Xenopus tropicalis: one gene and its partner. The protein of the gene in region 1 purifies or fractionates together with the protein of each later gene. This does not show direct contact. Links are inferred from orthologs where the notes say so. Each region holds a gene or a part of one and is shown on either strand. Other genes may lie near its edges.

Region 1 (4,454 bases):
TTCTTTTACTTTGTTTTCTTAAAAACAAAAAAAAAAAACAAAAACCCATAACCCTTGCCAAATATGGCACAGAATGTCTAGGTTTTTTCTGGAACCAGCTCATGAAAATCTGTAAGCAAAGCATTTAAAACTCCATGCTTATTATATTTCAGCACACAATGGTGCAGAGAGATCCTGACTCATATCAGGGAGGGCAAGGACCAGTGCGCTACTTGCCTCTGTTGCCATAGCAACAGGATGCAGCTATAGCATCAGCATCTTCAACCTGTGGCATTCCGGCTGATCATGTACATCATCAATGCTGTTGTTGGCATTATGGGAATTGTAGTTCCAACAGCTTTGGAAACTGACGTGCATGATCCTTAACTAGCTCTTAAATTCTCCAACATCTTTTCCTATGGTTTTTTTTTGCTTCCACCCACTCAGTTTCTATGCAGTATATAAAAACCCATCCTTTATATTCTTCTGCAATGCTCACACTGCGACCTTTCTCCCCCCTCCCCGCGCATTTGTGTGTCTCTGCATGTGTCCTGCCTTCTCCCTGCTCCTCCCCCTCTTTCCCTCCTCCTACCCTTGGCAGAGCAGATATAAATCATATCCATCACCTCCTCCCCTCCCCAAATAAGAGTATTAAAAAAGGTTCTGAAACAAAGGAGCCCTGCAGTGTCCCGCGACTCAAAGAAAAAAAAAGAATTCTGTGTGCCCAAAGCACAGCCAAGCAAAAGGGACTAGGGGTCCTGTCTGCATTAGCCTCACAGGGGGGGGGCAGCAAAGCCAGTGCTATTCACTCAGGCAAGGGGAGCCCATGCAGTGGCCCTCCAGCTGTTACTTCTCCATACCTGACAGTGATCAGCAACAACTGATTCACCTATTATTTTAGAGGATTTATCATAGCAAATGTGATAGACTACTGCGGGTAACTTTTTCAGCTGTATCAGTTAGCTAGCCCCTCAATATTCTGCATTACATCTATTTGAATAGAACCTTTGGTGCAATGTAGCCCACACACCATATACCTGTGTAAAAGCATATCCACATATTGAAGGTTGTCTTTTATCATTATTCTTTATTTATATAGTGCCACCACATTTCTGCAGTGCTTTAGTAATGATTCATCTTTCACATAAATGATTGGCCAAGTGGAGCTTACAATCTAATGTCCTTCTTCACACAGGATCTGATACACTATAGAGATCCTAATAGAACCTCTTGTTAGTGGAGGTTGTAGTCTCATGATGGAGGGGATGCAGGCTGTGAGGACACAAAGTGATCCCTGCATGGAGCTGCAATGGCCAATGCAATGCTGCTCCCTCACGCAGCCCCAGCTACTGCCCGTTAGAACAACGTGGTGGAGGTGTGCCAGTGTCCTTCCGCTGCTGGCGGAGGGATCTGCAAGTGGAGGCATTAGAAGGAGATAGGGGGAGGGGGACTACACCCGGGCGCTGCCCTATTTCCTTGGCTTCTGCTGGCTGTCTGAGCTCAGATTATCTCCGGCCGTGACGGAGCCGCTTCACCCCCCTTCCCCGTTACCGGCTACCCACACCCTATTCCCCCCGCAAGCTCTAGTGAGGAACCGTTATTTTGCAGCGTGACGACCCCCTTTCTACCCGCACTGAAGATGTCCGGCTGGCAGGATTACGTGGATATGCTGATGGCCGATGGCAGCTGCCAGGAGGCCGCCATTGTCGGTTACGTGGACGCCAAGTACGTCTGGGCAACGACTCCGGGGGGCATCTTTCAGATTATAACGGTAAGCGGAATGAGGATGCAGGAGACTGATTGCCGCTATGTGCTGCACCTGCCGCCTGGGGGCGGGACTTGCGTCTAACGGGCTCCGGCTGCACAAAGGGGCCACACGGGACGCGGCTTGTCTGTATCTGTGCCGGTAATTCTGCGCTCCCCTGGGGGGCAATGTGTGTGTATGGTGCTGCCCTACTGCATAGAGTGTGCAGAGCTTTCACTGGAGGCCATTAGTGACCCAGTGCAAGTGGCACCAGGCCCAGTGCTTTACCGCGACACGTCGCATGCGACTTTAGTATGTCAGCAGTATAGCCGTATATATGCATATTGTAATGCACTTATTATTCAGCCAATGTCCCCCGGGGGCACTGGCCTCGCATTGTCTTATTGGATTCACAGGGTTTTTGAGAGGAGGGCAAAAAGGGCATTTGAAGAAGGAACTCTGTATCAGGGTGGCCCTCTGGGGGAAGGAATGGAAATAAAAGTACAATAGACCTGTACTGAGTAATTGTGTTCTCTATATTTGTCTGTGATGTTCAGTCTCGGGTTGTAGTTCAGCAACAACAGAGGCTGGAGATCCCTGATCCATTTACCCACTGCTAACATTGGGGCCTCCTGTATGTTACTATGTATTCCTCTATGGCCAAGGGCCCTCTGTTCTCTAAATGGCAGTGGAAACTTCTATCCTTGTTCAAGGGCTATGGGCACAATCAGTGCAGCTATTTCCTATGGCCATTTTGCCTTTAGGGAAGGTGTGTGCTAAGTGCAGCCCTGTGCTGCTTCTCACTACACCACTGGCTCTTGCTTGATGCTGGGAGTTGTAGGAAAGGTCCATGTGATCTTCCCACTGTTAATCTGCTGCCTCTGGAATGCTAGTCTGTATCTGGGGGAACTCTGAATGAATGTATGTAGTACAGGGAGGAACAGCCTCTGTGCCCCTGGAAGCCTGAAGGTAGTAGCAGGAGGGCCGCAGCATGCCCATCTTTGGTGTAGGGTGAAATGTGTAGGATCAGGCCGGCGTGCCATTGACTCACCACAAGTCGTTTGCATAGCACCCAGCCGCTGTCGTGGATGAGATTTAAAGCACCTGACGTAAGCAGCTTTCGTGAATCCCAGCCCCCGCTTCTCTCTCCATATTCTTCTGCAAGATGGCGTGGTCCCATTGATTTTTTTTTTCTCCTCTGTCTCCCTAACATTTACATTTTTTAGTCTCCCTGCCCGACATCATTGCTGGGTACCTCTACCTTTTTTTCCCCCCTCTCGTAAGCATCGCTGTGTCGTTAAGATTTGTGCTTTAGGGGTGCTGAGATCTAATTGGGTAGCGCAATTAAAAATTCTGCTGCATTCACAATGGCATCCTGCTGAATGGGGGCTACATAATGCCGTCCTTAACTCTCTCATGGCTAGTGTAGAAGCCCAAGAAAGAGCCATTTGTTTTGTGATTTATACATTACAGCCAAATTCAGTCGGTCCTTGTTTAAGGCTTCACATTGCAGTTGCATTTTTATGTCACATATATTTCAAACCCAAGCTGAAGTATTTTGGCACGAAGCCCAAAAACTTTAAAAATCACGCTGGTTGGTGCTGAATGAATCTGCCAGTGTCTGTCATACCATTCCAGTTGTGGCATAGCCGATGAACAATCTGCTGGGCCTTAGAAAGCTCATATTGCACATTGGTGTCTGTATCGGGTTTTAATTGAGAGATTTTTCAAGTCATCAATATAAAGCAGTTATTCCACTTCCTCCTCTGAGAACTTGTGCAGAATAAGTTCTTCTATAGAGCCAACTTTAAATGAGTCAAATACTCAGAAATAATTAACTGTAGTTCGAAGCATTCTTCCAATACACAGTAAATCTTTTATTCATGTAGTTAGTTGGGACTTGTGATTTCTATTGAAAGAATCATTTTTCAGTGCGTTGCTATTTCTTGTCCTTGCTACTTTTACCATTGGAACAATGTAGCAAGTCAGCTCTTCCTTAGCCAAGATTATTATTCCCACTGGGAAATGGAGTCTTGGCTGGAGAAGAGCTGACTCTTGCTACATTGTTTCAGTGGTCCAAGGAGTCAGGACCAGCAGTGCAATAAATAGCAAGTGACAGGCTGTTTTTAATAGCCATTGCAATTCCATTTAACTGAAGATTTGAATTATTTTAATGTAAATTTGAGAGTTGGTGAACTTTTTCACTTTGCAATTTGTTAGTATTTGGCTGACATTTCCTTTTAATATCAGACTGCAAGATTGTGACATTAATTTGAGTGACAAATTTAGAGCAATAGTCTGATTAATACATCATCAGTCTGGTTAATAATACACTGATGTCTCATTTGGGTAAGAGTGTCTCAACTGGGGCTGAGCAGCAGCTATTGAACTGTAGCTCCTTGCATTGCTAATAGCAGAGATTTCAGGATCAGCAATACCCAGGGGCTGTGGGTGATACGCTACCTTTATTGATCACTTATGATTTATCTCTATGTAAGTACATCTGGAGAAGGGTTAATCACTGGCACGGCCACTGGTAATTTAGGATGATATCACAGAACAGAGTAGAATGTTAGCCCTTGGGGATCCTACGAGTAATATTTGAACAGTTGTTCAGTATGTTCAGTTAATTTATGGAATAACTTGGCTTGCTTTCAGCAGCAACTGCACATTTTATGATTCATACTTTTTATTTTTGTATTACCCTGGTCAGAATGATTGACAGGGCTGC
Region 2 (4,708 bases), on another chromosome or scaffold:
TCCTTAAAAATTTTAAAAATAACTCTTTTGCATGTCTGGCTAAGCAAAGACTATTTTTATACTGTTGCCAGAAGGTCAGAGCTGTAAGCAGCACTTTTTATGTTTTTATATTTATCTACTAATTTTGTTTTGTCACTTTAACTTTTTATTTCACGTTTGGAGCCAATCAGGTCTCCAGCTCTAACATCTGGCTATTAAGCTCTTTTACCCCTAGCTTTTGTGAAACCACAACTGTGAAGGGATCCTATCTAGCTGAGGTAAAGGACAGTCTATAGACCACTACAGTTGTAGGACTTTTGGCTTCAGGGTAGGGGATAAATAGGACTCCCCTAGACCTGATGAAGAGGGCCTAAGACACCTGCCCCTTCAGGCCTCCTCGCTGGGGGGGCATTCATTCTTTCCATTTTAAAGGAGGGTCTAAATTTGCTGACCCTTGCATTCTTTTGTTTTTTTTTTGCACCTGGGTGAAAAAGCATGTTCTTCAGGCTTCAAAAAACATATGAGTGAGATTGGCAGGGAAGGTCATAGTCATAGTAAACTTAGACTTTGCTGATAAACTTGGTCTTTGCTGATATGAGGGTTGGTTACTTGGGGAGCTCACATTCCAGTTACTGCATGGGGCTCCAAATGTTTTACTTTAGATTAGTTTAGATTTTTTTTCCTTACATACGTTGCATTTTATTCTCAGGGGGACGGATGATCTTCGACAGTATCAGCTTAACCAATAAATACGTTTATGAGTACCAGAGGTCATTGTAGAGCTGTAAACTGTAAAGTTAAATAACAAATGGTTGACCTGCATAGGAAATGGAAGTATGGACAAAGAGCAGTATCGCTGACTCAGAGCAGGGAAGGCGATTTAAAAGTGTTTATATAAGGAAATATGTGCTATAATGATACTTTTCTTTCCCTTACAACACAGCCATACATGAAGAAATAACTAGGCACTATCACAATATGCTGGCGCTAGAGACAAGAAGTGCAATCGAGTCACTGTATTCATGGATTGTACGCAACACAATGCAGTGCGTCACTGTAACGTTACAAAGCTTACTGTCTCGGCAGGCTGCAGAAATCCTAACGAACTGCATTTGGTCCTGACATTTCTGCAGACATAAACGTGCAGACTATCTGCTTTGCAAAGCCATGTTTTAAGAGAGTAAATCATTTCAGGCCAATAAAGAATATAAAAAGAAAGAGTTCTGCACCGCGCCCTTTATTATACAGCAATTAATGGAAAGGATAAGGCGTGGTATATCTAAGTGTAGATTTAATGAAACATATATATGTATATTGATATCTATGTATGTACGTATCTGTGTATATACGTATCCGCATCCTAGCTAGTAGGTGTAACTGCCTCACTCTACGCGCCCCCTTCGCCCGCAGTTCCTACAGCCAATCAGCTTCCCAGTTCCTGGAACGCTCCTTATATGGTGCAGCCGGCTGGGGCGCGCAGCATAAAACCGGCGCCCTAGCCCGACAACTGCTCAGTGACCCGCCCGCACAGAAACAGGACAGTGTGTGTGTCGTACTCTCAGGCAAGTAGCGCCGAGCCTGCTATTGTTGTGCTTTTCCTCTGCTATTTCCTGCTTCTATTCGCCTATTTTTCTCTATATATTATTAGAATAAGCATGATTTGGTTCTAATTGGCTATGTTTTTCATAATGTGCTTGAAATAGTTGGTAGCTTAATGTAGCGTTATTTACTTGAAGGTAAGACTTGTTAGTAGACAAGCGTGAAGCCTGGTTCTGGAATTGTGCTAAAGTTCAGTTCCTTATATGCTTAATTAGATCTTAATTGATAAAGGACACTGGAAGTTGTAGGTTGTACATACTGGAGAGCTGGGGAACCATTTTTCTGTTACAGCAGGTTTAACTTGTAAGTTGCATTTAAAAATAGGGTTTTGTTTTTTTTTTGTATCGTTTCCTCTTCTGTAAACTGAGCCCCCAATAGCAGCGCCGCTTGGGGATGTGCGATTGGGCGGTTCCCTGCCGATGTTAGTGTGAGGCTGCACACAAAGCTACATATTGTGTATAAGTGTGTGATGCAATCTGTGTCGGAACAGCCTTTTGCTGTCTAAAATATATTGGCGGTAGTTCTCTCCCGCTTCGGTTTAGACTTTCCATATGCATGTATATCCGTAACTAGAATACAAAAGCGCAAGTTACATCTTATATATTTATTTTGTCCTTGCACTGGTAAAAACGGAGTCACACCTGCAGTATGTGATTCTGTCCTGTAGTGTTGCCTTCATGAAACATTGGGAGTGGTAGTCGGTTGGTTCGATTGCCTAATACCAGCAGTGACTTGTTTCTTTGCCACACCTTCACTATCCATGGCTGGATGGGAGGGGTGCTTGTGTAAATCTTTGCTGTTGCCTTATTTGGTAATACAGAAAATAAATCGATTTCCCTTTGTCTAAATCTGTACAGAAATGGTGCAAACCCCTGCGCCCTCTTGTGACAGACCTTATGAAATGCAAGTAATGGGCAGGAAGCGTCCTTGTGGTATATACCAGCGCTCATAATTTGGGTGGATAATTATCTCAATTTTATTTATTTTTTAAATTTCAGATTACAATGGACGACGATATTGCTGCACTGGTCGTTGACAATGGTTCTGGTATGTGCAAAGCCGGCTTTGCAGGTGATGATGCACCCCGTGCTGTTTTCCCATCCATTGTTGGTCGCCCAAGACATCAGGTATGCCCTTTTCATGCCTTTTTCATTTCATGTCTAAATAAAACCTAGAAATAAAACTAGTAAAGCACCTCTAACAAATCAGTGTGTTGTCCCAAGGAGGTAAAACATTTTTTTTTTTTTTTTATGTATTTAACTGTTAAAGGTGAAACTAATCTGGGGGCAAATAAAACTGCAATTCTGCATGGGTTATAGGTATGTTGGTAACAATATATTTGCCATTGAGTGTTTTTAAACCATACACGTAAGGATAGTTTCCAAAAAGTGTTGCATAAGATGATGCAATTTTTTTTATTTTTTTTTTTTTTTTTACTCTTTCAAATAAACACTGCAGGCAGGAATAATCACATAAATAGCTGTGCCTAGGGCACCCCCCAACTCTTGTGCCCTAGGCTTGTGTCGGTTATTCCTTTAAGCTGGTTTTGGGCACTTCTCGGCAAGGCTGAAACTAGGAGTAGGCATATTTAAAATAAACTCTTTATACTGTCCACACAAACCCTGTTTATTGACTTATGCTGTGTAAGTGCTAAAGCCAGTTACATTTTCCAACCCTGCATGAAAAGAATTTCTTTTCAGAGTGTAATGTGGTTTAATTTAAATGGAAAAATATTTTAATTAAGTGCAGGTTAAGTGTGTGTATATAGATATTTAATATGATATATATATTGTACTTTGCACACTACATTTCCATATTCTTTGCAAATTGCCTACTTCTGTTTATTTGTGAAATACACAGGGGCGTGGTTAACATAGCAAATGTTCTTGCATACTCTTGTTTCCTGTAAGCACAAGATGACAGGAAGTATTACGAAATTAGAGGGCCCTGCCCAAAAGAGCTTTTACTCTAGAATTTCCTCTTAAAGTCTGCATTATGTGAGGTCCATGAAAATCCACTTTATTCATTCCATTGTCTGGCTAGTATTGAATTAAGGCATGCTTTTCATTTACTAAATTACTTAATTTAGTCCAAATTGTCTTACGCTTTATTTTAGGGTGTCATGGTTGGAATGGGACAGAAAGATAGCTACGTAGGAGACGAAGCTCAAAGCAAAAGAGGTATTCTTACACTCAAATATCCTATTGAGCATGGCATTGTCACTAACTGGGATGATATGGAGAAGATCTGGCATCATACCTTCTACAATGAACTCAGAGTGGCCCCAGAGGAACACCCAGTGCTGCTGACAGAAGCACCCTTGAATCCCAAAGCTAACCGGGAGAAAATGACGCAGGTATGTTACCTGTTTTCTGGTGTGAGGGTTTGGGTTGTGGGTTTTGTTTTGTGTTTTTTGTTTTTTAATTATATAATTGCTATTCCTTACAGGGCTGTCCTGGCCTCAAAGTTTACTGGAATCTCAAAGGTTTTTTTTCAGTATTTGCCTGTTTTACATCAAGGGTAGAATACTAACAATGTTAGCGTTGTGTGAAAAGTGCTGAATGATGGCTTGTTTTTCAAAGTTCACTTTGCTTGTGTTTTTCCTCACATTGGCCCTGCCTAAATTTGTGTTGTGTGCAGCAAAATCAAATGCTGTTCTGAAACTACACATGCATGAGTTTTGGATGCCTTTATGCAGGTAATGTGCTAATTGCCTTTTCAACCATTACAGATCATGTTTGAGACCTTTAACACTCCAGCTATGTATGTTGCCATCCAAGCTGTGTTGTCCCTGTATGCATCTGGTCGTACCACTGGTATTGTCATGGACTCAGGTGATGGTGTAACACACACTGTGCCAATATATGAAGGTTATGCTCTACCCCATGCCATTCTGCGTCTGGACTTGGCTGGACGTGACCTGACAGACTACCTCATGAAAATCCTCACTGAGAGGGGGTACAGCTTCACCACCACAGCTGAAAGAGAAATTGTTCGTGATATCAAGGAGAAATTGTGCTATGTTGCTCTGGACTTTGAGCAGGAGATGGCCACAGCTGCTTCTTCTTCATCATTGGAAAAGAGTTATGAGCTGCCTGATGGACAAGTTATCACCATTGGTAATGAGCGG

Evidence for each region.
Region 2: the proteins of pfn2 (region 1) and actb purify together in Homo sapiens (affinity purification with mass spectrometry; 3 studies listed by BioGRID and IntAct, counting the BioPlex papers as one, with this or other methods). This does not show direct contact. The link is inferred for Xenopus tropicalis from reciprocal best matches to the Homo sapiens genes PFN2 and ACTB.

What each region holds. Positions count from the first base shown.
Region 1 is NC_030681.2:118,614,753-118,619,206, forward strand, and holds the start of pfn2 (profilin-2), read left to right. Parts: upstream 1-1,503; 5' UTR 1,504-1,618; coding exon 1,619-1,750; intron 1,751-4,454. UniProt on the Homo sapiens protein: Binds to actin and affects the structure of the cytoskeleton. At high concentrations, profilin prevents the polymerization of actin, whereas it enhances it at low concentrations. By binding to PIP2, it inhibits the formation of IP3 and DG.
Region 2 is NC_030685.2:46,572,351-46,577,058, reverse strand, and holds the start of actb (actin, cytoplasmic 1), read left to right. Parts: upstream 1-1,515; 5' UTR 1,516-1,541; intron 1,542-2,576; 5' UTR 2,577-2,582; coding exon 2,583-2,705; intron 2,706-3,694; coding exon 3,695-3,934; intron 3,935-4,309; coding exon 4,310-4,708. UniProt on the Homo sapiens protein: Actin is a highly conserved protein that polymerizes to produce filaments that form cross-linked networks in the cytoplasm of cells.